Linked DNA regions of Mus musculus. The protein of the gene in region 1 interacts with the protein of each later gene in a biochemical or structural test. Links are inferred from orthologs where the notes say so. Each region holds a gene or a part of one and is shown in the gene's direction. Other genes may lie near its edges. The genes, in order: Ywhaq, Mark2, Cdc25a and Prkd1.

Region 1 (7,495 bases):
TCCCAGATCACACTCCATCAGGGCCGGAACTCAGGGAATGAACTCAGAGGCAGGAAGTGGAGCAGAGACCATAGAGGGACACTGATAATTGGCTTACTTTTCATAATTTGCTCTATTTGATTTTTTAATATAACCCCTCACTACCTGGCTAGGGTTGGTACTGCCCCTAGTGAGCCAGGCCCTACCACATCAATCATTAAGATTGCCCCACAGGCATTCATAGAGTACAAATTATTGGAGGCGTTTTCTCATTTGAGGTTCCTCTTCCCTGTTGTCCCAAAAAAAAAAAAAAAAAAAAAAAAACAAAACTGACTGGAGCATTTACTATCTCTAGCAGTAGGGTCTTACTCTCTAGTGCTGAGGGTATCCAATTCCAGTAACAGCAGTGATAGAATAGTGGTTTGAAAGCTCTATGAGTAGGGAGGTGCCTCATCCATCTCTGGTTCTGGATGGAGTTTTTAGGTAATAACCTATGGGTTTTTGGGGAGCAGCTTTATCCACTCATACAAGGTGCCTCTTCAGGTTTCTTCATATCACTTTGAGCTTGACCCTCTTCTACCTGCTTCCTTCCTCTATCTCCCTGCCTGTCCTCAGATCACCTTCCCCTGCCACCTTTCCTAACCTAGAGGCTATCTCAGGGCCAGGTTTTTAAGATTTATTTTATTATGTACGTGAGTACTCTGTCGCTTTCTTCAGACAAAGCAGAAGAGGGCATCATCAGATCCTATCACAGATGGTTGTGAATCGCCATGTAGTTGCTGGGAATTGAACTCAGGACCTCTGGACGAGCAGTCAGTGTTTGTTCTTAACCACTGAGCCATCTCTCCAGCCCCTCCCCCCCCTTAAAAGCTAACTTTTATAGCATCTCATTCATTCATCTTTCAAAACGTGAGGGTGCATAGTTCATGATGTGCTTACCTTAAGACTGAGCACTTCTTGAGGGCAGCATGAACCTTATTTCAGGCTTTTTAATGTGTTTACGCAAACACAGGTTTATGGCACCGAACTAAGCAGGTATCAGTTAATATTGGGTAAATAGACTACTGACTGGACAAGCTTCTTCTAACAACAGTATTTGCTGTTATCTAAGTTTTTTGCTATAAACCATGGGCTGAATCATTTAAGGCCTGCCGGGGAAGCTAGTATAAAAACCTAACCTTGAAACCATATTTCAGGTCCAGGTTTGAATGATAGATAGTCAAAAGTATAAGTTGTCTGTGATTAAATGGCATTTTACTAGTTTTTGTTTTGTTTATTTATTCATTTATTTTTAGGAATTGTTGGATAAGTATTTAATAGCCAATGCAACTAATCCAGAGAGTAAGGTCTTCTATCTGAAAATGAAGGGAGATTATTTCCGGTATCTTGCTGAAGTAGCTTGTGGCGATGATCGAAAACGTAAGTATATTTGACCCACGGGTAAATCCAGAATACATAAAAAGAAGTGGGAATGGGTAGTCACTTGTCACTGTGACAAAATAACCCGAGAAAGATAGCTTGAAAGGAGAGAGTTACATTGGTTTCAAAGGATTGGTTCATTAGTTAATTCTGTTAGTGTGGACCCTGAAGTAGGCAGAACTTCACAGGAATTGCTCATTTAATTGCATCCAAGAAGCAAGAGGGTGGGGATCTAGAGACAATGTCTATCTTTTCAGGAAACACTCCTTTGGCCTGTTTCCTTTAACTAGCTCCTGCCTCCTGGATTTCATCACATCCTGATAATACCATTATCAAAGGTCTGATCCATTGGACTGATCAGTACACTAAGTTTGTAGTTCTTAAAAGCCATACAAACTTTCAACCCTATCTTTAACACGTGCCTTAGAGAGTATTTCATATTCAAACCATAACAGGATAATTAGCCACATGTAGGGTAGTAATCTGTAGGTAGTTTGCAGGTTCTTTGTAACTTAAAAATAAAAAATTATATGTCTTGTCCCAGTGGATGCCCCCACACCTGTGCCCATATGGCAACACTTAATTAGATAGGGAGGGATATTAAGTACAACCAAAACAAAGACAAGCATGGGGATGATGGGGTAGGGGCACTAAGAGTGTTTTGGAGAGGATGATGGTGGGTGGATATGATTAAATTGTTTAAATGTATGAAAATTTAAAAGAATAAACAAATGGTATTTAAATTAAAAAAATTGTTTTTCTGTGTATACATGTTTTGCTTGTGTGTGCTTGGGTGCCTGGTGCCTTTGGAGGCCCTGGAACTAGAGTTTACAGATGGTCGAGCTGCTGTGTGGCCTTGGAATTGAACCTGGGTTCTCAGGAAGAACCACCTGTATCTTAACCACTGAAATATTTCTCCATCTACATCAAAGAAAATAACAAAAGTCTTTAAAATGAACACTTGTAGTGGTACACATCCTTGGTCCTAGAACTTGCGAGGCAGACAGGTGGATCTCTGTGAGTTCAAGGCCAGCCTGGTCTGCATGATGAGATTTATGATAGCCAGAGCTATGAAGAGATACCCTGTCTCAAAAAAGAAGTATTTTATATAAAGGAAATTGAATTTCTTTTTTTGATTGTATTTCTGAAAATGAAAACACTGCAGCATCTAGGAAGCTGGAGCAGGAGAATTGTCAGAACAACCTGGACTACATAGTGAGACCCTGCCTCAAAAAAAAAAAAAAAAAGAAATGAATTTATCCTCAACAAAGTTGGGCTCATGGGTGAACTCTAATTGTGCTTTTATATTACAAGCAGCCTTAATCTTTCATGCTTTGGGAGTTTGTTAAAATTATAGCTCTAATTCTATGTAATTCTAATTCCTTACATAACACTTCTATATTTCTAATAAAATTATATGTAGAATATAGAAATAGGATGTTGCTGGTTATTTGTGTAGGGTATGTGTGCTAGAGCTTGAAACCAGGACTTCACACAGAATATTTACTTTTTTTCAGTATGTGTGTGCCTGAATGCCATAGCACACATGTAGGGATCAGAGGACATCTACCATGTGGGTTCCAAGGATCAAACTTGTGCTGTCAAGCTTGTTTGGTGTCAAGCAACTTTATCTACTGTCTTACTGGTCCAAATAGGTTTTTGTTTAAGTATACTGGAGCTGTGGTGATCAGAATGACTCATAGCCAGATACCTATGTTGAAGTTGTTAGCATGTTGTATATTGGATAGATGCTTTGGCTGTTGTGCTTAACTTTTTTCCCGTTTTCAACTCACAGAAACAATAGAAAATTCCCAAGGAGCCTACCAAGAGGCGTTTGATATAAGCAAGAAGGAGATGCAGCCTACGCATCCAATCCGCCTGGGGCTGGCTCTTAACTTTTCTGTATTTTACTATGAGATCCTTAATAATCCAGAGCTTGCCTGCACACTGGCTAAAACGGTAAGATTGCTGTTGGGTTCATCCCTCTTTTTATGAGGATGTTTGAGAAACTAAGTATATTAATTTTTAAGTATTTGGATGCTCAAGGGAGGCCATTTTCATGTGTGTGTTAGACAGTTTCTCTATTACTGACTCTCCTCCATCCCTACCCCCCAAACTGCACCAGTTCCTGTAAGAATTATACTAAGTGTTGTTTAATGTACTGTGTATCTTGTGATAAACCAACAAATGCTTGTAAATATTTAGAGTGAGTTTCAGATTATATTGGGGGGGGGTTGGTTCGAGACAGGGTTTCTCTGTATAGCCCTGGCTGTCCTGTAACTCATTTTGTAGACCAGAAATCCGCCTGCCTCTGCCTCTCAAGTGCTGGGATTAAAGGCGTGCCACCACGCCCGGCTAAATTTTTTTTTTAAGATTATTTATTTTAGGGCTGGTGAGATGGCTCAGCGGGTAAGAGCACTGACCACTCTTCCAAAGGTCCTGAGTTCAAGTCCCAGCAACCACATGGTGGCTCACAACCATCCGTAATGAGATCTGACGCCCTCTTCTGGAATGTCTGAAGACAGCTACAGTGTACTTACTTATGATAAATAAATAAATCTTTTTTTTTTTTTTAATTACTTATTTTAGCTGGGCAGTGTTGGCGCATGCCTGGGGAGCAGCACTTGGGAGGCAGAGGCAGGTGGATTTCTGAGTTCGAGGCCAGCCTGGTCTACAGAGTGAGTGCCAGGACTGCACAGAGAAACCCTGTCTCGAAAAACCAAAAAAGAAAAAGATTATTTACTTTATGTATATGAATACGATGTAACTGTCTTCAGACACACCAGAAGAAGGCATCAGACCTCACTATAGATAGTTGTGAGCCACCATGTGGTTGCTGAGAATTGAACTCAGGACATCTGAGAGAGTAGTCAATGCTCTTAACTACTGAACCATCTCATCATCCAGCGCCCCCCCCCCTTTTTTTTTTTAAGAAGCAGAGCAAGTATAGCTTTAGTGAGGAAAGGTGAGGCCAGAACTCTCCCGAATTGGGGCATGGGGGCAGGGGAGTGGGACTTGAAGTGAGGAACACTCACAAAATCTTAAACTGGGGCTCCAAGGGAGTACTTCCATAGTGTTACCCTGTAGCGTAATGTGGTTGTACACACGGTTGTATTTGCAGACTGGCTAGCTTCTGTTCCTGAACTAAATGTATAATACTACAAATGTTAACTTTACCAGGCTTTTGATGAGGCCATCGCAGAGCTTGATACACTGAACGAAGACTCCTACAAAGACAGCACCCTCATCATGCAGTTGCTTAGAGACAACTTAACAGTGAGTTGTTCACTATTAACATGTCTGTTTTCAGAAACAACAGTAATTTCGTTTTGGGGGGGTACAGTTATAGAAAAGTTATAGCCTCTTTTTTTATTGTCATTTTTGAGACAGGGTTTCTCTGAGTAGCCTCCTTGGCTGTCCTGGAAATCACTCTGTGGACCATTCTGGCTTCATACACACAGATATCCACTTGCCCTGCCTCCCAAGTGCTGGGATTAAAGATGTGCACTACTACTGTAGGACTAGAGCTATGGTCTCTTACAAAATTTGGAGAAATGTCTTCATGATGACAAAGTATTTTATCAGACCTTTCTATGAAAGTAGAATATAGTATTATCATTACTTTTAGACTTAGTGGAATGTGTTGGTAACAACAGTTAATGTAGAGAGCTTGTCTAGTTCTAGTATTTCCTTTCTTTGGGTAAATTAGATATAACAAATTAGAGATTCTATATGTGTTGCAAACTCCTTATTTTACTAAAAGTTTCCTTGGAGGGCTAGAGAGATGATTCAGTGGTTAGGAACATTGGTTGCTATCTCAGAGGGCCTGGGTTTGAGTCTCAGTGCCCACATAGTGATTCACAATGGACTAACTCTTGTCCTAAGGAACCCCTCCCATGGGCACTGTACACACATAATATGCAGGCAGCATGTCTGTGCCTATAAAGGTTTAATTTTTTTCTGTTGTGTTTGAATATTTGATAGAGGGTTTCTTATTTTGCATTCTATTGCAGTGTGAAAACATGGTGACTAAAAAAGTATTGGGAAGAGAAGAATTTATTTCAGTTTAGATTTTACACTCCAGCATGGAGGGAAGTCAGGGGGTGGGCGGTGGTGGTACCACCTTTAATTTCAGCACGTAGGACAGAGGCAGGAAGATCTCTGTGAGGTTGAGGTCAGCCTGGTGTATATAATGAGTACCGGGATAGCTAGGACTATACAGAGAAAGAAATCCTGTCTCAAAAGAAGAGGGAAGTCAGGACAGGAACTGAAGCAGAGGCCATGGAGGAGTGCTGCTTTTACTCACTTGTTTCCATGACTTAGTCTGCTTTCTTTTATAACCCAGAAGTACATGCTCAGGGGTGACACTTCTTCCCATAGTGAAGCTAGGCCCTCTCATGCCAATCATTAATCAAGAAAATGCTGCCAATCTGATGGAGGCATTGCTTCAGTTAAGGTTCCCTCTATCCGGATGACTTTGGCTTTTGTCAGATTTACAAAAACGAAAAGAACTGACACAGGCTAAGCCTATGTGTAAGTTTACCTCTGCTTATAAGCTAAAGCCCGTTTTATCTTTTCCTTTGGTTTTTCTTCCTCATTCTTAAGCAGTAGGTAAAGGATGCATTAGTGTTCTGTCCTTGTGACAAACCGGATTAGACAACTTTAAAACAATGCTGAGTTTAGGATTCACGAGTGTAAAGGTTTCAGTCCCCAGTAGTAGCGTGGGTGCATTGTGTTGAACAGCTTGACAGGTTCAGTGAAGTGAAGGCCTGCATCTCCCCTGGCAGCCATAGGAAAGACACCTATCAGTGTCCTTCAAGGGTGCTCCCACAATGACCCAGCTTTCCATAACTTGATAGCTCCTCTAAAGGATTGTACTACCTCTCTAAAGGTACAGCATGAGGAGCTGAGAGTTTAACTTAAGCCTGTGGGGACATTTCATACCAAAGTATAGCAAGAAACAATTGAGAAATGGTGAGGCTTGAACTTAGTCATTTTCTGTGTTCAAGTAAATTTGATAGGATAATATTTTAGACTGAAGACAGAGAGAACCAGGAGGGAATGATGCCTTTTAATATAAATAGAGTTTTCCCAGCATCTGGTTGTGCTGCTGTAGCTTTCACTTTCACTGTGTGGTATTAATATTACAGTGTTTTTAAAGTTCCATATCTGTTCAGTTCTCCTGAGCAGATGATGAGTTCATGGAAAAGGAAATCAGGAAAGCGCTGTGTGTTCTTAGATGTCAGCAGAGCAGAGCCACACACAGCTGCTCCTATGAATTGACTGTAAGCTTCATGGACTCAGGACTGTTTACTTTAATAGTGATTTAAGATCTTTATTTATTTGTTTGTTTGTTTGTTTATTATATGTAAGTACACTGTAGCTGTCCTCAGACACTCCAGAAGAGAGAGTCAGATCTCGTTACGGATGGTTGTGAGCCACCATGTGGTTGCTGGGACTTGAACTCCGGACCTTCGGAAGAGCAGTTGGGTGCTCTTACCCACTGAGCTATCTCACCAGCCCTATTTATTTATTTAATGTATTTGAGTACACTGTAGTTGTGCAGATGGTTGTGGGCCTTCGTGTGGTTGTTGGGGATTGAAATTTTAGGACCTCTGCTCACTCCAGTCAACTCCGCTCCACCCAAAGATTTATTTATTACTATACATAATTACACTGTAGCTGACCAGATGCACCAGAAGAGGGCGTCAGATCTCATTATGGGTGGTTGTGAGCCATCATGTGGTTGCTGGGATTTGAACTCAGGACCTTGGGAAGAACAGTCCATGCTCTTGCCATCCCAAGCCTACTTTTTCCTTTTTTTTTGTTTTGTTTGTTTGGTTGTTGTTGTTGTTTGTTTATTTGTTTGTTTGGGTTTTCAAGACAGAGTATCTCTGTATAGTTCTGGCTGTCCTGGAACTCACTTTGTAGACCAGACCAGAGGCTGGCCTCAAACTCAGAAATTTGCCTGCCTCTGCCTCCATAGTGCTGGGATTAAAGGCGTACACCACCACCGCCCACCTCCAAGCTTGCTTTTTCTTAAGTTGCAAGTAGCATCTTAGTGTTGATAAATTACGTTTTCTGAACTGATTACAGT
Region 2 (7,495 bases), on another chromosome or scaffold:
CACTCAGCCTTACCAAGCCATAGGCTTTGTCCCTGTAGCTCTCTCTGCCAAACCCAGTCTCTCTCTTTCTGTTAGTGGTGGTTTCGGTTGCGACACAGTCTAGGTTCTCAGGCGGGAACTGCTCTGCCTGCCTGCTACGCTTTTTACTGAGGAGGTGGTGGAAGGTGTCGCCTGGCCTGTGCCGGCTGAGTAAGGGTGGCTGGCTGAGCCGGCAGCCCCCGCCCTGGGCCTGGCTCATCCCGGTCTCTGTACTTTGCCCTCGCTGCCTGACAGGTTCTGCTGAATGGAAGTCGCTGGTAGTCCTTGTCCCCTTCTCCGGCTGGGTATGTTTTCCCCATTTTGCCCCTGGGGCTATCCTTTGAACAAAATCTTGGAAGAGTTGCTAAGTGGAGTTGGGTACTGGCACCAGGCAGTCAGATTCTCTGGAAGGGCATCTGGATGTCGAAGAGACATTGGCTATGAAGGAGAAAAGGAAAACAGGCAGATACCAAAAGATCTTTGGCCTCACCAGCCAGAGGAAAGGAAACAGGCTATAAAAAAGGGGTATCGTAGTGGGAGTCCACCTGGGACCAAGGACAAGAGCCCAAAGGGCCCTTTCTTTACTCCTCCGCCTCCCTTAAGCTTACTTACTCTGTTTGGCCAGGAAGTGCCTGCTCCCCCACCCCCATGCCCAGCACTAGTCTGGCCCTTCCCAGTCTGCAGAAGCCATGGTACACTGGAGGGCTGGCCCTGGGGGAGCCCCCAGAGCATGGCTTTTTAAGAGGAGAACAGTTGATGGCAGCTGCCAGTATTAGGGCAGGGGACCCTGCCTTACCGAGTCAATGCTGACCTCTGGGGTGGAGGCTATCTTCTGGCACCATAAGCTCCCAGTCTGAAAGTCTGGGTGGGTTCAGTAGGTGGAAGATTCTGACGTCTGTCCATCACTAACCCCAGAGAGCTTTTGGCTGTTGTTCTAGATTAGGGCTACTTAGAAACTATGAAGACGACTTGAGAGCCACAGGGGTTCTTTTACTGAGGAAGCTAGGGGCCTGGCTAGGGTATACATGGGTCATAGCTCTGACGGTCTACATCCTGCTGTAGACAGTGAGCCTGAGCATGGGGAGGGAGCAGCACTTAGCCAGATCCTGTTCTGTGGTCCAGAAGAACGCTAGGCTCTCCATAATGGCCACCCCACTCTTACCCCAGAGCAGCAGCAGGAGAGGGTGGGAGTTACCTTACATGGGTCCTTGGCTCAAGAAGCAGTGCCTGCGCAGTTTTACTTTCTACCATCTTTCCATGCTCTTCCCAATGGGTTGTCCTCACCCTGTCCCCATTTCTCTGCTAGAAAGTATCTTGTGTAATGAAGAAATAGTGGTGTCAGAGAAATACTGGATTAAGTCCTGAGAGCTCAGATCTGACGAGGGGTTTGTTGACTGGAACAGGGAACCATGGAGCAGATTTCAGAGCTGGCTTACTTCCTTGGGTCCTAATGAAGAGCCCTTTCTCCTCTGTGCTGGGGACCAGCCTTTCACAGGTGTCCTACCTGAGTGCCTGGCACCTCTCCTTTCTTCTTAAGAAAGCCTGTGATAGTCAACAAACAGCTCTGATTGGATTTCACCAGGCCTGGAGATTAGCAGGGGGCTTAGTTTGAACCCTTGTCACCCCTAAACATTTCTGTGAGACTATATTTGGCTTAGCAGACTCAGCTTGAGTCCAAAAGGTTACTGAGGACTTAAGACATAATTTGGAGACATAATAGTTGCTTAAAAACAAAAACCATTTTACAGCCTTGGCCAGCCTTTCTCTATAACTTAGGCTGCCTGATGGTTGCTCTTTATTTAACATAGGATAAAACAGTTGACAAATGTTCTCTCATTTGCCAGTGAAAGGTAGGAAATGTTTTATTGCCACTTTACAGATAAGGAAACTAACGTGAGGAGCTAGGGCTGGAACCTTCCTCTGTATGCTGGACAACACCACCCCCCACCCCCACCCCCACCCCCACCCCCGCATGAACGCCAGCACAGGTCATCTTGGGGTGGAACGCTCTCGCCTTTTTCAGGAAGAAGTTGATAGCAAGAAAGTTAACCTGAGCTGAGTAGCAGTTAGGGTCTGAACTCTGGGAGTTTGTGTCTACACTGCTCATCCTAACCCATAAGGAAGCCAGCACACGGCAGGCTGATATGCTACTGCCTGAGGTGTAACAGTGAGCCCAGGGGAAACCTGGCTGGAGCTTTCTAGCTTGTGCTTCAGAGAGGCAAAGGATCCAGCTTCTTATGTTTATTTAGTGTGAGAATTTTAGGTTCTTGGGCTTCAGCCCTACAAAGTTCCTGCTGTCCTTGGTTTCTGCCCTTGGGAAAGGGGTGTCACAGGAACTTACAGTAAAGGTTACCAAGGGGTAGAGCAGCAGCTCAGTGGCTAAGAGCGTGTCTTGCTATTGGAGTGGACCTCAGATGAAATAGTGGTTTATAACTGCCTACAACTGTAGCTCCAGAGGATCCAGTTACCCTTTCTGACTTCAGTGGGCTTATCCACACATGTGCTGCATAAACTGAAGCACTCACACACACACAGAATTTTTTTTAAGTTGTTAAGGAAAGGGTCTGGTGTTAGATTGGTAGAACACTTGCCTAGTATATGAGAGATCTCAGGTTTAATCTCCAGCACCACAAAAAAGAAAATTGCCAAGGAATGCGCCCACTTAGCAGCTGAGGCAGAGGGGAGGTTTCCAGTTGTTGGTGCCCTGAGGGCAGGGGGAGCACTGAATAGCAGTGCTAGACATTAAAGCTAGGCTTCTGAGACCTGTGGATGGTCTCAAAGTATCATTTAGAAGTAGCTGCAGATAGAACTGCCTTTTTTTTTCCCCCAAGTATGAGTCACAGGGTTCCTTGGAGACGGTTTCTGAAGCAGATTCTTGAAAAAAAAATCTATTTGTCCATCCTCTGCTGTGGATAGCTACAGATTGACAACAGTGGGACTTAAGGAATTGTCACAGAGATGACATTTCCTCTAGATAACTTTGAATCTGCATCTGCCTCTCTAGGTTTGTACATAGTGGTCAAGGGGACCTTCACGGTTGTCCATGTGCAAGGGCTTCTGGGGTCTGAGTTAGCAAATCAGGAAAACTAGCACACAGCTGCTGCACAAAGGCCCTGGATTGACACATTAGAGAAAAGGGAATTTTGTAAAGCCCACACACTTCTTGCCAAGGAACTTCAGGCAGTTCCCTGTGTTGAAGTCACGCCTTTTCTCTGTGGCTTCTGAAGGCTTCCCTTCGAGTCTGAAGGGATCTGAGGGAAGAAAGTGGGCCCGTCATCTCCAGTCACCCTGCTGCCCTCCTCGCTGTCTCCCTGAAGACAAGGTGGCTCTGCCTGGTTGTGGCTCAGGCTGTGGAACCAACTTGGCAGTGTGCTCAGATGTTCTGAGAGGTGAATCAGGATTCAAAGCGGGGTGAGGGGTAGGGGGGTGGTAATTCCCCTTGACACTGGAGTATAATTCACCCATTCCAAGTACAGATGAGTGGCTTTTATTACATTTTGTGTTGTTTGCTTTCAAAACATTTTCGTTATCCCCAAAGAAACACCATGCTCTTTACCTGTCACCTCAAATGTCCCTCTAGATAACTATGACTCTGCATCTGCCTCTCTAGCTTTGTATATTCTATATAGTCAAAGATAGAGTCAAAGAAGACGGTCCTTTGTGGCCAGCTTCTTTGTCTCTTGGGGATTCTTTGGAGCAGCAGTATCAGTGCTTCCTTCCATATGACGAGTTCTTATTCTACTGTGGTGTCACATTCATCAGTTGATTGTTGATTTGTTTCCCCGCTAGCATTGAGAAGTATGACCATTCTCAGTGACCATTGGTGCACAGGACCGTCTTCATACCTATTTTCATTGAAACTATGCACTTTGTATGTAACTATTGTGGCTTCTCGGCTCATTTGCACCATTGAATACAGAAAGGAGAGCAGGGCAGGGCAGGCTGCTGCACTACACAGAGCAGTTGTTGTATTTATTTGTTGGACAGTGATTCTCTGAGTACTGTCAGGTGTTCGATGTGATGTGTCAGTGAATAAAGAATATTATAGACTGTCTTCGTGGGTTTCCAATCTCACTGGACACATCAATAAACAAATGTAAAGAATAAATAGTAGACGTTGATGCTAAGACCTGGGTGATGAGAACTTTGTAGTGTTTAGACCATGTGTTCCTGCAACTGAGAACCAGCATTCTTGGAGTGTGAGCAGGGCAGTCAGAGACAAGGTCTCCCAGCTATGATGAGGGCAGAGACTCCACTAGGTTACTACTGGGGGCTAATCGTGGTTGGTGGTGCTGATGAGAGATAGCTCTGGTCCTGAGCGCTGCTGTGTACAGGATTTAGCCCTGAACCTTATGCTATGTGCCTTTGCAGTGAAAACTGGCTGTGATGCCTTCCCTTCTCTGTCTTCTTCCCCTGCCTTATGATTCCTTGTATTTCCTGCCAGTCTGCTTTGGAGTCTGCCCCTGCACCCAGACTCTTGCCGTTTCTTCAGAGTGGAGGGTAGTGGTAGACAGAACTAGAGGGGCAGCCTGTAAAGGCGTGTCTGTTTCCACCCTGCAGCCCACCTTGGGACACCTTGATTCCAAGCCCAGCAGTAAGTCCAACATGCTGCGGGGCCGCAACTCAGCCACCTCTGCTGACGAGCAGCCCCATATTGGCAACTACCGGCTCCTTAAGACCATTGGCAAGGGTAACTTTGCCAAGGTGAAGTTGGCCCGGCACATCCTGACGGGGAAAGAGGTGAGCACTGGGGTTGGGGCCATGGTAGCAGCTCCTAGCCTGTTGACACTCCCAGCAGGCAGTGCTGAGACTGTTCCTACAGTTAGCCTCTTGTTTATCTGCAGAAGTGAGATCTGATAGCTATGCTAGGGCCAAGCATGTAAAGGAGTAGAAAATTCGATGGAGAAAGTAGCACCAAGTCCTGGTTCAGTCTGCTCAAGAAAGTGATCTTGGGCTTTTTGTTTCCTGTTCAGGTAGCTGTGAAGATCATCGACAAGACCCAGCTGAACTCCTCCAGCCTACAGAAAGTGAGTCCCCACCCTGTGCCTCCCATCCCTTCCTAAGGACAAGCCCACAAAATCGCTTCCTTAAGACTCAACAGTCCCTTCAAGCCAGGTGGTGGTGGTATAAGAGACAGGAGTATCTCAGAGTTCGAGGCCAGCCTGGTCTACAGAGCAAGTTCCAGGACAGCCAGTGCTACACAAAGAAACCCTGTCTTGAAAAACAAACACCCAAAAAAACTTATGCCCTTTACCTATGGTTCTGGTTGGGTTCCCTGTGGTAATTCTATCCAGTAGGCCTCCTGGCCACAAGCAAGGGCTCTTCTGAAGTCTTCCAGCTACTTGGTCCGGTCTGACCTACTTCCTGATCATGTTATCTCCTGGCCTGTGTCCAGGTCTCTGCAGAAACACGTCTATAGCATTGCTAGAGGTATATGCAGACCCAGACACTGAGTGACCCAGTGGAGTGGCCCTAGAAGTTCAGGTTAAAGAAGCAGAGCCTACCCCTGGATCTCTGCAGGCTCCATTTAAGAGAGGAGCTTGGAAGACTTGAGTTCTAAGCCTGTGTGTGACAGGGTGCACAGATTAAAGGCACTCTGCTTTATCCCCAATTTCTAGGCTTTCTTGTTGAATACTCATTTTGTGAGTAAGCAGCTTTAGCTAGGTAAAGTTGAACTTTTCTTCCCTTGTTAACTAAGGTCTTCCTTGGGTTGTAGGAGAACCCCCAAATAGAGACATAACCCCTGTGCCAAAGAAACGTGTGCATGAGAAAAGAAGGGGCAACTTGCAGTACTGGAAGCACTGTCCCTCATCCTCCTGGGTTGAAGGCGGTTAGAAGACGGGGAAGGGGTTGGGGGTATGGGGTGCTACCCAGGTTAATCAGATTTCCTTTGGTTTTTCTACTGTATCTAACCCCTGCTCACTTTTTCTAAGACCTGGTTCTTAGGGCCAAGCAAGTTTTTTCATGAGCATATTACAGTGGCTGAATTAGAGGGGCATAACCAGGTAAATAGCCACAGTGATAGGAAAAAGGATGAGGAGCCAGAGAATGTTACAGAGGGCGCTGTTCCCCGAATCAGAATTGATAAAGTGGCTTCATTGGCATGCTAACAGCTAGATTTAAGGTGTTTACAAATTGTATTATCCCTGAAGGGTTTTTGTTAGAACAGAAGCAATGCGATCGTCACCAGGTTGTTATCAGAGCTTGTGGAGAAAAAAGGAGGACACATGTCCCTGCTACACTGGCTGCAGCCCTGCAAAGGCCTTGGAGCATAGCGGCTTACTGTTCATTGTTGCTTACTCTGTTCATTCCCATTGACAACCAAGCCATCTCATTCCCTACCTCTTTTTTCTCCCCACTTCTTTCTGATTGATTGTGCCAGACAAATAGAGGGGTTCTGTTTTTTTGTTTTTGTTTTCTTTTTTGAAACAGGATATTATATACCCAGGCTACTCTTGAGCTCACCATGTATCTAAAGATATCCTTTAACGCCTGTTCCTCCTGCTTCCATCCCCAAGATGCAGAAATAAAGCCATTTAAAAAACCCTTTTTTACATACTTTGTTAGTAAAACCAGTCTCATTCAGGCCAGTTAACTCTGCTTACATTTCTTCTTAGCAGTGTTCCTTACTTAACACTGGAGTTTTTAAAGACATTGGCCGCTCTAGGCTTAGGCTTTCCCATACCAAATGGATATGTTAGAGGATGGGAAAGTGACTACCGGCTCTGAGTACCATCTCAGGTCTGTCCCCATTGGTCACTCTGAGATGGTGGCCAAGAGCCTTTGCTTTTTTTTTTTTTTTTTTTTTTTTTTTTTTTTTTTTTTTTACCAGCATACTGTTAGGTGAAAGAGGAGCAAGAAAAGCCTGGGTGGGCTCTGATGAAGTGGGAAGGTTGGATCAAGTTTCTTGTTGCAGTCAACCAAAGCTCTGGGACAACATTAAAGGGGGGAAGCCAAAATTTTTTTTTAAAGGTTTGTTTATTTATTTATTATATGTAAGTACACTGTAGCTGTCTTCAGACACTCCAGAAGAGGGCGTCAGATCTCATTATGGATGGTTGTGAGCCACCATGTGGTTGCTGGGATTTGAATTCAGGACCTTTGGAAGAGCAGTCAGTGCTCTTAACCACTGAGCCATCTTTCCAGCCCGGGGGAAGCCATTTTTTTAACTATTCTATAAACTACATCCTGAATTAGGGCCCCAGACAAACCACCATGTCCCTACAAACCAACCAACCAACCAACCAGTTCTGTTCCTTGTATGAGTGATGAAGCCTGGGAAGTTTCAGAACCCTCCTTTAGTTGTCTGTTGCCTGCAGGGGAAGAGGTTCATCTCTGTCATCTCTCAGTATGGAAATGGATGGTTTGGAGCCCCTGATTTTGTTTTACAAAGGGAACATGAGTGTGTGGGAGTGGGTTTGATTAAAATTGGCATCAGCTATATATAGGTGTGGGTGGTTTCTTCTGTTACTACCTC
Region 3 (7,495 bases), on another chromosome or scaffold:
CTGCTGTCCTTGGAAGAGAAAAAGAAATAGTTCAAAGTTCTAATCTTACGCCTGTTGCCTCTAGATTACAGTTCTCAGGCGTGCTTACACAGTGGTTCCTTGTGTAGCTGTAGAGCAGAATCACAACAGAAGGCTGTTTAGTTAGAAGCCATCCAAATGATCTTTACAACTCAAATCTTGTTTTCTTACAAAAACCTTCCTTATCAGAAGTTCAGGAACTCTACTGAGATAAAGTAATTATGTGTTATTTTGTGAGATACATGACAATGATCTTCTGTTACAGTGTCAGGTTCAGGTTTTGATTTGGTTTTTGGTTTTTTAATTTTTATTTTTAAGGCAGATTCTTGCCATATAGCCCTGGCTAGGCTCAACATTGTGGCAGTCCTCCTGCCTCTGGGATTGTATCTCACGCCTGTCTTGGTATCACCTCAACAGTTCTCATTGCGAACAGTAAAAGAGGACAGGTGCTGGTTGGTGTGTCGGCATGCCGGTGATCTCTGTGCACTCTTTGAGTTTGAGACTATCCTGATCTACATTATCAAGTTCCAGGCCAACCAGAGATTCGTGGGTTTCAGGGAAATTCAACTAGTTACTAGATAGCATGGAGCTATCCTTCCTCTGCTTAAGTCACAGTACAGAATCTTTTACTTACTATAGGCATTCATATTTCAGTTTCCTTTTCTTGGCATGGTAAAGGTAAATAATTGTAGAGCTTTTAATCAAAACCCTGGTCTCATTCTCTACCTTGGATTTCTTACAGCTTCCATCCCAGTCTCTATCCCTGATGTCTTCCCCCAAAGGAACCATTGAGAACATTTTGGACAGTGACCCAAGAGACCTTATAGGAGATTTCTCCAAGGTAACTGCAAGCAGAGTCACTCTAGTCCGGTGGTGTTGGCAAGGGGTGCTAGAACCCCACTTACCTTGCTCCTTCCTTCCTCAAGGCAGCCCCTGGGTGCCGCCAAGGCAGCAGTTTTAAAAGTAAAAGCTAAAGAACAATCAGCTCAGCTGAACTTGTCAGGATGAGGCACGTGGTGGTCATGAGACTTGCTGGCTCGGTGGTTCCCTGTACGGTTACCTTCACTCTGACCAGTGTGTCTGGGAAAGCATGAGCCTGAGCTATGGTACAGTACAGCTAGCCATGATGGCCCACATCTTTAATCTTAGCATTTGTAAGGCAGAGCTAGACAGACTGAAGCCAGCCTGGTCTATACAGTAACTTCAAGGACCAGGGCTATATAGAGAGAGACCCTGTCTAAAAAGAACAAAACAAGGAAGAACAAGGAGTTTTTGAGGGGGATAAACAGCACTGAGTAGCACTGAGGTGTTCGTCCTTGTTAGGCTTGGGCCAAGATGTTCTTCCATTCTCACTACCTAACTCCATCCTGAGCAACCAGGTGCCCATCACATGAGCAAGTTGTCTCGCTTTCCAAGGCGTGGCCTCACTATTTTACCCAAATTAACCTAGTTCTACTGCCTCAGCCTACAGTACCACACCCACTGTCTTTGTGGTTTTATTTGTTACAGAACCACCTCATATTCTAAGTTGGCTCCAAACTCCAAACTAGGGATGCTCTTGAACTTATATCCTCCTCCCAAATGCTGTTATTATATTCCTGAGTCACACCTGATCTCCTCACTGCGTGTGTGTTTGCTGTTCCAGACACAGTTCCTCTATGCAGTCCTGACTGTCCTGGAACTCGTTGTAGTCCCTACTGGCTTTGAACTCAGAGATCGCCTGCCTCTGCCTCCTCCCAACCCCTAATGCTAGGACTAAACTTGTACCACAACGGCCTGACTGTCCTCTCTGCATTTAAGTGATTTCTCATACTAAGATGAGAATTCCTGATAAAAAAACAGGAGGGGGGTGGGGGAAGGTGCCGGGCGGTGCTGCAGCTACTGCACACCTTTAATCTCAGCATTCCAACGGCAGGCAGGTCTCTGTGTCTGAGGATACATAGAGAAACCCTGTCTTGAAAAACAAAACAAAACAAAACAGTAACAAAAGAAAAGCCAGTGGAGAAAGGAAATGACCTGTGGTTTCTGTGTTCAGATCTAGACTCGGGACTCCTTAGGTGGTAAGACCAGACCCAGAGGGTGAGCATAATCATTTACTAACTTACCCCAGGAGCAGGCTCACCTCGGAGTCTGGAGCTGGACTGCTCTACATAATGAAAACATATCTCCTTAAACAATAATAATTAAATATCTAGATGTTGATTAAGTGCATAGAAAGGTAATTAGCATATAGTATTGACTTATGTTTGTTTCTCGGTTTGTTTTTCAAGCTGCTTCCTACCACACAGGCAGCAGAATAAACCTTAATATTTGCAAGCTTTCACGTTCCTCTAAATATTTTCTGTTTCCTTTTTTTCATTTTCTAAAGGGTTATCTCTTTAATACAGTCTCTGGGAAGCATCAGGATTTGAAATATATTTCTCCAGAAATTGTAAGTCAGGCTTTTGGAACCCACTGCATTTGGGGAGTTGGAATCTCGTTACCTGACAGCCAGCAAATGACACCCTCTTCCCTCTCTCTTCATAGATGGCATCTGTTTTGAATGGCAAGTTTGCCGGTCTCATTAAAGAGTTTGTTATCATTGACTGCCGATACCCATATGAGTATGAAGGAGGTCACATCAAGGTTTGGATTCTTGAGACTTATTATCTTGGGAGTCTTAGAAGGTGGGATAGTGACATCTCTTGGCTGACGGCCAATATACACAAACTGAATGAATATTCCCACCAGTTCCACTTCACTCCCTCATACTGTCCTGTTTCAGGGCATTTCTAGGTGGCATCCCTGATGTCTAAGCTATTCAGTGGGGCCACAAAGAGTTCCACAGCATTTGGGATATTTAAATATGAATGTTTGAGCACCCCAGAGCTCCTGAGTAAAAGAAGCCAGTTTGGCAGCATGGCCCTGGTATCTGTACCAAGGCTCTGCTGTTGAGTCAGGCTGCCTACCTTGGGAAGGGACATGTTGGAACACCAGATTTCTAGAAGGAAGGAGCTGGTCATGCCTGTTTAGTATTACCATAAAAAGCAGGATTTAAATGTGAGTGGGGATTAGCTTCTGACTTTATGAAGTGACATTTAGAAATGGCCTACAGAGAAAGCCTCACTGACATAACAGGCAGGTGGTCTACTGCGCTGCTGGGCCGTGGGACCTACAGACTCCTGGGTGTGGCTTAGCAGGTGCTCAGTGTCTGCTGTCTCCACAGGGTGCCGTGAATCTGCACATGGAAGAAGAGGTTGAAGACTTCTTACTTAAGAACCCTATTGTGCCTACTGATGGCAAGCGTGTCATTGTCGTGTTCCACTGTGAGTTTTCCTCTGAAAGAGGCCCTCGAATGTGAGTACCACAGAGAATAAGGCTTTGGGGCGGAGGCTTCCTGACAGTGGAGAGCAGGGCACACGTCACAACCCTAACACAGGCACCTTTCACAAAGTCACAAGGCGCTCCAGTGCTGCTCCAGTCTACACATTATGTGTATACATGGCTTTTGTGGAAACTATAATTCCTATTATAACATAGTTTCCCTTAGTTGGACTTCTGTCCACTGATTTGTCTTTCAAACAGCCTTTTTTTTTCCCCTTCAAAAAAGGGTTTCACTGTGTAACCCTGGCTATTCTGGAACTCAGTCTGTAGAATAGGCTGGCTGGCCTCAGGGATTTAGGCACCCGGCCAAATAGACATTTTTACGATTAGTATTTATTTTATACTTTTTTTTATTTTGTGCACGCGCAAAGTGCCCTACCATAGTGTGTATATGGAGTTCAGAAGTCAGCTTGGGGGAGTGCTCTGCTGTGTGGATTTCTGAGCAGCTTTTACCCATCTTGCTCTCCCAAACATTTTTCCTCCTTTCTTGGTGGAGAAGGGGTTCAAGGTAGTGTTTCTCTGTTGAGTCCTAAATGTTCTGGAACTCAGGACATGTAGATGATGCTAGCCTCCAACCCAAAGATCCATCTTCATTGCCTCCTGGGTGCTGGGTATAGAGGCCTGTGACACTACCACCCAGCCCAGACATATTTCTTGAATGTAGTTGATGAACTTAACCTTTACGTTTTGATTGCAAATGATTTTCAGGCTTCTCCAGTTCAGTCTTACGGTGATACCAGTTGTAACTTTGTAGTATCACCATGGGTTCAGCCTCTTTCCAAATGACTCACTCTTGTTGGTCCTTTATATTGATTTTTACTTCGGCTCTCCCAGTTTCCCCCACTGTATTGCGTTCTACCGACTAGTCTCATAACGTCCAAGCAGTTGTTCCTTAAGCAAAGGGCAGAAAAGTCTGGAGAGCTTCCTCTGCAGATGTTGATGTGCTGGCGATACTCTAAAACAGCATCTGGCATGGTGGTGCATGTCTGGTTCCAGCCCTGGGGAAGCTAAGGCAGAGGATCAGAAGTGTAAAGCCAGCCTGAGCTGCATGCGATCCTATAAGAAGCACACTAACGTACTGTTAGGCTAGGAGTGTGGCTCATATCAGATAGAGCACTTCTCTAGTATTTGTGAAGTCCTGGGTTCAAGGGCAGGTATGATGGCGCATGCCTTTAATTTCAGCACTCAGATTCAAGGTCAGTCTAGACTACTACAGGATCTCATTACAGTGACATAGTGAGATCCTGTCACCCAAACAACAACAACAAAAAAGAAAACAACCCACCCATTTGAGTAGGACTGAATATTCACACATGAATGGAGATAGTGGGGGCTTGCATCCACTCTCAAATTCTTATTGTTATTTAACACTAACAACATAGCAAACCAAAAGTCTAGCTTCCTGGAGGGACATTTCAGAGTAGACAGGAGGCAGACAAGCATATTTTAAAAACTTAGAATTGTACAAAATGTTCACAAGTCCTTCAAAATGAGGTCAATGAGTGGAAGCTCCCAGATAGAGGACAGGAGACGAGTGGGGTGAATGAGATGTGAGGCGGCACACAGTAGGACACTGAAAACTGTGGCTTTCGTGCCGCTCAGGCAGAGTGCAGAGAGACACGGGGTTCTAGTAGCTACCGGGGAAGTAGAAGGCCTCGGCTGTTTAAAGGCACAAGAAGGAAGACTTCTACTTGGGTGAGAGGAGCAGAATGAGGGGACCATGGACAGAATGGAGAGCACGCTGGCTCTAAGCTATTGCTGCAGATGGTGTCGGCAGCAGGCAGGTGGAAGGAGTGCCAGGACACCACCTGTGTTGTGTCCTGTCCCCTAGCCTGAAGGAGGTGACCCGACTGTGTCCTTCACTTCTTTTCACTAGGTGCCGATATGTGAGAGAGAGAGATAGGCTCGGCAATGAGTACCCCAAGCTCCACTACCCTGAGCTGTATGTCCTGAAGGGGGGATACAAGGAGTTCTTTTTGAAGTGCCAGGTGAGATGTCTGTGAGCATGTCCCCACGCCCCCATGCTGGGCCATTGGGTCGGTTGTGGCTGCTGCTTGCCGGGGTCTGGGGGCGCACTATGCATCTGCTAAGTGCCAGGCTCCTGCTCACTGGCACCTGCTTGCTGCCTTCCCAGCCTTGCAGCTCTAGGCAGAGGAAGCCAGATGATATGAGGCAGGCGTATCCTGACCGTGTCTCTCCTGTTCCTTTAGTCTCACTGTGAACCCCCCAGCTACCGGCCAATGCACCATGAAGACTTTAAAGAAGACCTAAAGAAGTTCCGCACCAAGAGCCGGACCTGGGCAGGAGAAAAGAGCAAAAGAGAGATGTACAGTCGCCTGAAGAAGCTCTGAAGCCAAATGGTAGCAGCCTGAGCTTCCCTCTGCCCCGTCCCTTTTCCCTTTGCTGCAGAGCAGTAAGCAAAGGGGCCAGCTGTACGGTACCTGGAGAAAGACCTGGGCCTTCCATTCCTTGGACCTGTCTCCTACACTCCCAGGTTGGAGCCTAGGGCACCCTGCCGTTACACTCTTCTGTTCTGTAAGAGTCCTTCCCTGTCAGGACTGTCTGCCAAAGCTGGACAAGCACAGCACAGACTGGAGTCTGCAACACCGTGTTAGGCTGCTCTCACTGAGCATCCCATGAAGAAGGCCTTATTGGGTAGACCCTGGCCTGTCACGAGGAGAGAAAAGCCGCCCAAGTGCTGCTGGCCAAATACCAAAGATAGGCTGGAAGGGAGGAGAGGGCCTCGTGGATGACTCTTAACTTTAATTTATTCAGCTTCATCAATTATTTTATTATTGTTTTAATTCAAGACTTTTACTTTTCTGCTTCATTAAGTCAAAATACTGCCATTCTAGGTAGAGTTTTATCATCCTAGGAGCTACCTCTACTTTTAATTTAAAAAAAAAAAAAAATGGGGCAGGGATAAGAAAAAGGCAAACTTGTTAAGTTGTGAACAGCGCAAGGAGCTCAGTCACCCCTAGGAGGCGCTGCAGACCAGTATTGCTGCTACTCAAAGTCAAGGACTGAGATGCTGGTAAGAGCCTGCACCAGATCCAGGCTTGGCTACAGGACATAAGCTAACCTTCCCAGACCTACTTCTGCATTTTGCAGTGTTCCTCGGGGAAAGTCTTGTCTCCACTCCTCACCCCACGTCCCCATGACAGTGGCTGGTGTAGGAGTCACAGGAAGGCACTTTAGGCAGCTTCCATCAGGCCAGTACTGGAATGCTGTAGTGTGCCCCAAGGTGGAAGAGGGGGGGCATGAAAGAGTGGAGTCCACAGAGTGAGGGAGGAGCATGCCCACTGAATGTCCTTTTAAAAAAAAAAAAGTCATTTTATGAGTCGGAATATCCAATCAGTGTTGGGTGGGCACCCAAGGGTGAGCAGGGGGGCGGGAAGCCCAGGCTGTTATGTATCCTGGCCTACAGACAACTGTGGAATTTCTCAGGAGGGCGTAGTAAATTTTGAAGTCAAAGGTTCAGAGTTTATCATGTTTTAATTTGAGGGTCAGAGAGTGGTGAATCACATCAGTTACCCCCTAATCTAATCCCATGGAAGTGAGGCTCTCGGAAACACCTCTCGTCTGAGGGGCCAGGCTGCTTTGATTCTGCACAGCCTGTTTTGGTGCCTGCCTGTTGATATCCTTGGACACCAGCCTCTCTGCTATCTTTGCTCCATTGGGGTCTAGCCAGGTTTTTCTTAGGAAGAGTCTCCCCTCTTCCCTCTGCTTTCTATTCTGGGGGCGGGGAGGGAATCAGTGATATTGAAGATGGCTAGTTGCTTTGTTATGGGTTTGAGTTGCATTTGGCTATTAAACAAATCTTGTTTGAAAATATGTGGAGAGCAAGGGAATGAGCAGCCCCTTCCCTGGCGTGTTGAAGTATGTCCCAGTTGGTCCCTGGTCTGGTTTGTAGAGATTCTGTTAGCTGAATGCTTTCCAGGAGAATGGCTTGCAGATTGTACCAGCATAGCTAGCATTGTTAACCAACAGTTGCAGGCTCTGCAAATAAAAGTGATCTTGAACCCTTGTTCTCTGCCTAGTTCCTAATATACTCAACTGGGAGTCTCATTTGCCTTTAGGGTCCCAGGGTCACATAGCTAAATTAAGCCAGCCA
Region 4 (7,495 bases), about 29 Mb from region 1:
ACTGCAATAGTAATTACAGGTGACCCCCTTTTCACATGAAGCCCACACCCACTTACATGTCTTTCTTTCTGTAGGAGGCCTGTCCGATGAAATATTTTAGTTTTCAATTCACTTGTCTGGTCAGGGCCTCCCAGAACTGTTTTCCTGGGATTCATTTTAGAGTGTCTTCATTTTTAGTGTGTATTTGCCTTGGAGAATGGAAAATAAGCATCCTTCTGTGAAATTGTGTGTTTACTGTTTCATAGCTTCACATACTATGATTCAGTTGGTATGTGGGGGCAAGGAGTGACTTGTAATTGATTTGTTAGGATTGCCTTTCCCCTAAAGCCCTGGTTCTAAGAGTCCGGGCTTATCTTCTTGGATCCAACAATTTTCCAGAATTACTTAGCCCTGGTGCAGAATCTGATGTTGTTATGGAAGAAGGGAGTGATGACAATGACAGTGAGCGGAACAGTGGGCTCATGGATGACATGGACGAGGCCATGGTCCAAGATACTGAGATGGCTTTGGCAGAGGGCCAGAGTGGAGGTGCAGAGATGCAAGATCCAGATGCAGACCAGGAGGACTCCAACAGAACCATCAGGTCAGAAACCCCTCTAGGACTCAAGCTCTTATGTGTTTCAGTCCGTAAAAGAAACATGAAAAGCTATGTTCTGTATAGGAAAGCTTACGGAATGAGGAGCTTGGTTGCCCCAGAGAAGAGCTTGTTTCAGACCTGGCATTATTTATTTATCTGTTGACCCATTTCCTTTGTGCATGAAGGATACACATATTTGCTGTGGTCACTATTAATAGTTAATATTAACTCAGAGCTCATTGTGTGGAAACGTAATATTCAAGGGTCAGCCTCAGCAGAAATCATTTACTTTAAAACTGATCCCTATTATACATATCACAGTCTGTGTGCACCTCATTGTTCTTAATTTTATTTCAGAAATATGTGTAATTTCCTACCTATTATCTACATTTGTTATTTTAGCCCTGGGTGATCTTCACTTTTCATATTAGTAGTCAGTCCAGCATGGCCACCAGGTCAAATGGAACTGCTTCCTGCTATGTAATTGGATCTTATTGCAGCCATGCCTGTTCATGCCATCTGTGTCTGCTTCCATTCTACAATGGCTAAATGGTGAATTCTACAAAACCTAGGATCCTCTCGACCTGAACCCTTACAGAAAAAGTTTCCCACTCTAACTAATTGACATTATAACCCATACTAACAATTTTCTGTCCATTTACAAATGCCAAATTCATTAACACTTTGAGATTAATTGTGACCATGCAAAGATATTTTGCATGTCTTCCATTTACTGGAATAATAAACATTCTTTTAGTAGGGAAGCTTACTAGTCATATGACTTTGAAAGCATACAGTTCTTTTTTACCTGAGGATCTGTGGGAAGCAGAGGGAAGGATGAAGGGGGAGGGGGAAAGGATCTAAAAAGAGTCACTGACAAGAGATAAAAAGTGAAGGATGAAAGTAATTCCATGAATACTAGATCTGTAAAAGACTAGGAATCAACTCATCTGGGAAGTTCTAGTTTGCTTTGTTTTATTATTTGTTAAAGAAATCATTCAGACAGAGTTTGTATAGAAATCATAAATTATTAGTAGTATGCCTATTGCATATAACAAACTTTCCTCTGATTTTGAATATTGAGGCTTCTAAACACTGACAGTGAACCCTGCTGTTTTCCTAAAACTTTGAATGCCATCAAGATCAATGAGAAAAATCTCCCTGTATCTGACTCTGCCTAGGGAGTTTTAGAGTGAACATCTGAAGTACCCGTCACTCCCCCAAGAAACTCACTTTCTGAGCCATCAACCTCTGACAGTACATTTCACTGAAAATGAGACATGCATTTCTTTTTGACTTGTGCTTTGAAATAGTTTAAATGAGCTTTTATCCGTGGGAAGAAGATCTGAATGTGAAAATATTTCCCTGCTAACATATTTTGACTTTTCCAGCCCTTCAACGAGCAACAACATCCCGCTCATGAGGGTAGTGCAGTCTGTGAAGCACACGAAGCGGAGGAGCAGCACTGTGATGAAGGAAGGGTGGATGGTCCACTACACCAGCAAGGACACACTGGTAAGGGGACAGAACTGCTCCCTGTGAAGCGGATGTCCCGGGGGACTGTGGGATACGAGAGTTCTTGGGAGTAGACCTCCCAGCAGAGGCAGAGGGTCTGCAGACACATGCTATCTGGATGTTTGGTGTAGCTGAATAGATACTGAGGTTAGAATAAACTGTACAAAGCAATTCCAGTACAGAAAAAAAAATCTACAGACAACTAGAATGTCTACATCATTTCAAGGACAGCTGAAAAGATGCATGGTTTTAGTGTGTCCCTCTGTAGTCTAGAGGTTCAAAAGAAGCTATGCCTTTTGAGAAGCAAGAGAGAATACTGATGACTGTTTAGCCACCCTGGTGTGTGACAACTTTGTAGTGTGTTTCCTTTCTTACCAGTAGAACCCAAATAGCTGAATAATAAAGTTACATATTTAGCTAGAAGAGCGCACCCTTGAGGCATGGTTCAGAGTTTAACTAATTGACATTTGGTGAGAGCTTCTCATTGTCCTTTTTCTATCTCTGCCCTCCAATAATATTTCCACCATGTCTTTAGATAAGGAGACATGTGTACCTTTAATTGATTATTTATTATTTACACCTTCGTATGGGAGAGAAAATTTATTTCAGGACTCAAGTGAACTCTATAACTTTCTTTTTGGACCAGTTGGAAAATATTTAAGGTATATTTAATGTTTGTTTAGTCTAAGAGTGGCTGTGAGAGACACCAAACATAAAGTTGAGTCTTTGCTCCTGAAAAGATGCTAATGCACGAATCCCCCCAAAGGTGATGTACCAAGAGAGAAAAACCCAGTCATTAAGTCACAGTGATGAGCTGAGGAGCCAGCTGGATATAAGTCTCTAAACTTGGAACCATGAGGGCAAACCTTCCATCTAATGAGACTTATTTAGTGATGTAGCATTCAACATTCTATGGAGAGTAGAAGTGAAGATGCTTAGCTGAGTCCTCAGGGCCAGTCTAAAAGATTAACACAGACAAACCATCTAGCTGCTACTAAGCCCTGGGTTGTTTTGTAGACTACAAAATCTCCTTTAGCTTTTTAAGCAAATAAATGTTTAAAAATTGGGTGTATTTTGGTATTCATTGTGTGCATATGAATGTCAATTCAGGTACTTCCCAGGATGCTAACCCAGTATCTCGGTTATAATTCACAGTCTTAGAAGTAGGTACAAAAACACGTCACATTATGCTCATTAAATAGCTTCTTGAGTTAAATTGTAAGTTGTTTTTGCCTTTAAATTTAAACTTTTCACCATCAAATCCATGTTCCCTCAGAGAAATTGCACTTGTTTTTATAAAGCGCTCGAATTTTTAAAGTTGTGTAACTTCCATTTCAGCGGAAAAGGCACTACTGGAGATTGGACAGCAAATGCATAACACTCTTCCAAAATGACACAGGGAGCCGGTACTACAAGGTGAGGCTGGCTTCTTTCAGTTTTGCCTCATAATGTTCCTTAAGGAAATCGGGAAGTTGGTCCACATCCAACAGTGTGACCATTCCTGGGCTCCCGAAAGAAACCTTTTAATTGGCGGGATGCGGTTTTTGTAGGAGTTCAGATGTGACATCTTGATTAATCTGTGTGTCTCGCAATTGCCAACAACGTGCTTCTGGCGCAGGGGCTTCTGGGGAGCCGGATGCTGGAGAAGGAAGCGGAGGGGAAGCTAAGTGCAGCAGGGTAGCTGAGTGGTTTGGTTTCAATAGAGAGTTGGTGGCCACAACCCGAGACTACGAGTAAATCTGACATCCTCAGGAAGCCAGCACTGGTTACAGGGAGATCCATTCCTCTGTGTATGTGAGGATCGTATCCCTTTATTTATCAGCAATCGTCTGCCTTTCTACATTAAATAATATACAAGTAGTGTCTAGCTCAGTTCCTGTGATACTTCATGGTCTCCGTTACACAGCTATGACACCACACAAGAAAAGGTTATTAGATTTTTAATTGAAAAAAAATAAAATTATTACTTTAGTTACTTTATGCATCCTGCAGTATAGTATGGCACCTCATGTTTTTAATACTTAAATGACTATTAAAAAAAAACAACTAATTTGGGAGTTAGGAAGGATGGATCATTCAATAAATTACTTATCCCATAAGCTTGATGATCTGGGATCTGAGTTTAAATTCTCAGAACACATAATGACAATGATCATCATTGTTATCATCATCATCAATAATAATAATCCAGGCATAGTCTAATATGTCTTATAACCCTAATGTAGACACAGCAGAAATAGGCAGATTTCTGGAGCCAATCAGTGAGCCTGAGTTTAGTGAGAGATTCTATCTCAAAGATAGGTACTAGTTGTACAGGCACACGTGATTTAAAAACAAAACTTCATTGTAAACTAATTGCTGTGGTTTTTCTCAGTGAACATTCCTCTATGTAACTATGCTGTATTAGCATATATAGAATCAAAATATGTTTGACTGAGATGAAGAAACAGTTGAAATACAAAACAGCCATGAGTATCCTAATACATTTTTAAAGATGTTATAATTTGCTTCAAAGCTTTTTAGATTCTTCCATCTGCCACTGGATCAGTATGTGTGAGAGAGAGAGTGAGGGAGGGTGGAAAGATGGAGAGAAGAAATTTTTCAGAGAGTGTGATAAGGCCTCATTATAGAAAATTACATTTTATGCAGGTTATAAGGCCTCATTATAGAAAACTACATTTTATGCGTGTTATATATATTTGAAAATATTTTCTGTATTTTGTAACTTCCTTTCTCATTTAATAATCGGCATGATTTTGGTTAACCACATTTACCATTCTTTGTCTTCCATAGGAAATTCCTTTATCAGAAATATTATGTCTGGAACCAGCAAAACCTTCAGCTTTAACTCCCGTTGGAGCGACTCCTCATTGTTTTGAAATCACTACAGCGAATGTAGTGTATTATGTGGGAGAAAACGTGGTTAACCCATCAAGTTCCCCACCAAACAACAGTGTTCTCCCCAGTGGCATCGGTCCGGATGTGGCCAGGATGTGGGAGGTGGCCATCCAGCATGCTCTTATGCCCGTCATCCCCAAGGGCTCCTCTGTTGGCTCCGGATCCAACTCACACAGTGAGTCCATTGGCTTCAGTCTGGCATGGCTCAGGCTCCTGATGGTCCAGTAAGAGACCTGCTGCTTTCCCCAAAGAGATGATAAAGAAAGACTCCCCGTGCTGGCTTCAGTTTGTGGCAGAACATGGAATCTCTGAAGGGAAGCTGCTATGCTTACTGAAATATGTATTAAATTGTTATACTTATTTTATATTAGAGCTTTTATAAAGTCAAGTATAACCTATATACTATACGACCACAGGTGCCCACAGCTATTGTTCCTAAAAGACACCATTCAGTCAGTTTGAGCTTCACTTGGAATGACACAAATATGAAAAAAAATCTATTTGCTACAAATCCCTCCTCCTTTTCTACCCATGGTCTATGACTGTTGTTGCTGCTTGATCACTTTATCCCAGGAAGAACTTTCGGTGCACTAGTCAAATAGATTCAGCTAGAGTAGAAGCAAGATGAAATATTGAGGTGGATCTTAAAAAAATAGAGGAGTACCTTTATGAAATTATGATCTGAAATTCTATCACAAATCATGCAACCTGAAGATTAACCTGTTTTAACATTATAGTATATTTTATCTGTCATAATTATATTTTTTCTCAGTATATTAATAGGATACACTTATTTTGACCACAAGGAATGTATCTGTATGTAAACTAAGCACTTAACCAGAGGCCTCTACTTTAACTCCTAAAACCCCATTCCTTAATGATTTGTCTACATTCAAACAGAAACAATTTCTAGAAAGTTGGTTGTCTATTAGCTAACAGAATGGCTGCATAATTTAACCCGAGCTCTATGCTGACAAATAAATATTTAAAAACAAATTACAGAGTTTGTAATGTTAAGGGAGCTAATATATTTTAATAGAAATTTTGTAGAAATACCTAATTGCTGTGATTAATGTAAATATAGTAAATATGGCCCACTGGGGTCTTTAAAAATATACTTTAACTATTTCTTGTCTGTTTTTTAAACATGCATTTCCAGAAGATATTTCTGTGAGCATTTCCGTTTCAAATTGCCAGATTCAGGAAAATGTGGTAAGCATGTGTCTATTCATATAAATCCCAGAATGTGATTACTGGAAAATAGAACGTATCACATGATAGATTTTTATTTATCCAATTTTCTGTTTACTTTCTTACCGTACATTGTTTACTCATTTTTCTATACTGCAGAATATAGTACCAAGGGCTGTTGTCATAATAGACAATTGTAGTGTGATATACAATTTTTCATATTTATCTTAGGATTTTGTTTTTTATTTTTTGTTTTTGTTTTTTTGTGTGTGTTTGTTTTGGGGATTTTTTGTTTTGTTTTTGTTTGTTTGTTTGTTTTTAGATCAAAATAGGACATATAGTTTACTAAGAACACAGCAGGAAGGAGGCAGGCTTGGTAGTGACAGCTAGGAGTACCACTGATCTGACTTGATAATTGAAATTTAATGGTTGGTATTGCACAGTAAAATAGATACATTAATAATGTAAAATTTTTATTTGTAGACCTTTTTTAACATGCCATTGCTTATCTCCTTGCTAACAAGGTGTGCTGATAGATGAAAGGGGCTGCAAATATTCTTAGTCACGTATACATGCCACAATATAGATCTCAAAAACGTCCCCTAAATCAGGAACTATGATCACCAGTGCCACCTAGCACAGACTTTTCAGAATTCAGAAGTTATAGATCACATCGTAAGATGTTTTACACGAGGTTGTGTTTGCTTGATTTCATCTTAGTACTGAAGATGGAGTACCTACCTCAGTGCTGTGACCAACAGCATCAACTGCTTGCTCTCTCTACCTAAGACCCAAACAAGCCAGTGGACCATCCTGCTTACAGTGATCTGAGATTGTTTATCAAAAAACAGACTCCATGAATATCATCTGTTCAGTGCTGCTCTTGTCCCTGGAATTCTTGATGACCTGGTGTAAACTGAGCAAAGGCAAGGGTGAATTACAGGAGGTCACTTCACAGTGCAGGTTAAATGGATGCTTGAACTGTACCTCCTGAGATGCAGACCTCAAGACTGCAGGGTTCTGCTGCCCTTGCTTAGACAGAGGAGACCTTGGAGAAAGCGGGCAACTCGAAAGCTTCCTGGGTAGTTCCCAGGGGACCTCAGAGTCCTTTATCCTGATTGTCCACTGAAAATTTTGAAATGAATTTTCCAAGAAATTCTGAGGAGTCCGTTGGTTAGCGTGGCTACAGGAAAAAGGGACCAGATTAATGATGTTCCTTGCCAGAGAGTTTTGAACTCACTTTCTGATACTCCAGAGGCATCACAGACACAAGCTTCCTAGTTGCTTTCTAAGAGAAGAGAAGGAAAGTGGTGG

The links.
Region 2: the proteins of Ywhaq (region 1) and Mark2 form a complex in vitro, tested with the Homo sapiens proteins (2 studies listed by BioGRID, with this or other methods). The link is inferred for Mus musculus from reciprocal best matches to the Homo sapiens genes YWHAQ and MARK2.
Region 3: the proteins of Ywhaq (region 1) and Cdc25a form a complex in vitro, tested with the Homo sapiens proteins (2 studies listed by BioGRID, with this or other methods). The link is inferred for Mus musculus from reciprocal best matches to the Homo sapiens genes YWHAQ and CDC25A.
Region 4: the proteins of Ywhaq (region 1) and Prkd1 form a complex in vitro, tested with the Homo sapiens proteins (2 studies listed by BioGRID). The link is inferred for Mus musculus from reciprocal best matches to the Homo sapiens genes YWHAQ and PRKD1.

What each region holds. Positions count from the first base shown.
Region 1 is NC_000078.6:21,392,144-21,399,638, reverse strand, and holds part of Ywhaq (14-3-3 protein theta), read left to right. Parts: exon of another isoform or gene 1-1,036; intron 1,037-1,274; coding exon 1,275-1,398; intron 1,399-3,193; coding exon 3,194-3,357; intron 3,358-4,578; coding exon 4,579-4,674; intron 4,675-7,495. UniProt on the Homo sapiens protein: Adapter protein implicated in the regulation of a large spectrum of both general and specialized signaling pathways. Binds to a large number of partners, usually by recognition of a phosphoserine or phosphothreonine motif.
Region 2 is NC_000085.6:7,287,866-7,295,360, reverse strand, and holds part of Mark2 (serine/threonine-protein kinase MARK2), read left to right. Parts: exon of another isoform or gene 1-323; intron 324-3,245; exon of another isoform or gene 3,246-3,407; intron 3,408-4,578; coding exon 4,579-4,758; intron 4,759-4,991; coding exon 4,992-5,045; intron 5,046-7,495. UniProt on the Homo sapiens protein: Serine/threonine-protein kinase. Involved in cell polarity and microtubule dynamics regulation. Phosphorylates CRTC2/TORC2, DCX, HDAC7, KIF13B, MAP2, MAP4 and RAB11FIP2. Phosphorylates the microtubule-associated protein MAPT/TAU.
Region 3 is NC_000075.6:109,886,488-109,893,982, forward strand, and holds the end of Cdc25a (M-phase inducer phosphatase 1), read left to right. Parts: intron 1-760; coding exon 761-859; intron 860-2,386; coding exon 2,387-2,449; intron 2,450-2,544; coding exon 2,545-2,643; intron 2,644-3,155; exon of another isoform or gene 3,156-3,223; coding exon 3,224-3,354; intron 3,355-5,257; coding exon 5,258-5,369; intron 5,370-5,591; coding exon 5,592-5,732; 3' UTR 5,733-7,403; downstream 7,404-7,495. UniProt on the Homo sapiens protein: Tyrosine protein phosphatase which functions as a dosage-dependent inducer of mitotic progression. Directly dephosphorylates CDK1 and stimulates its kinase activity. Also dephosphorylates CDK2 in complex with cyclin-E, in vitro.
Region 4 is NC_000078.6:50,385,923-50,393,417, reverse strand, and holds part of Prkd1 (serine/threonine-protein kinase D1), read left to right. Parts: intron 1-378; coding exon 379-583; intron 584-1,968; coding exon 1,969-2,092; intron 2,093-3,430; coding exon 3,431-3,508; intron 3,509-4,885; coding exon 4,886-5,165; intron 5,166-6,149; coding exon 6,150-6,202; intron 6,203-7,495.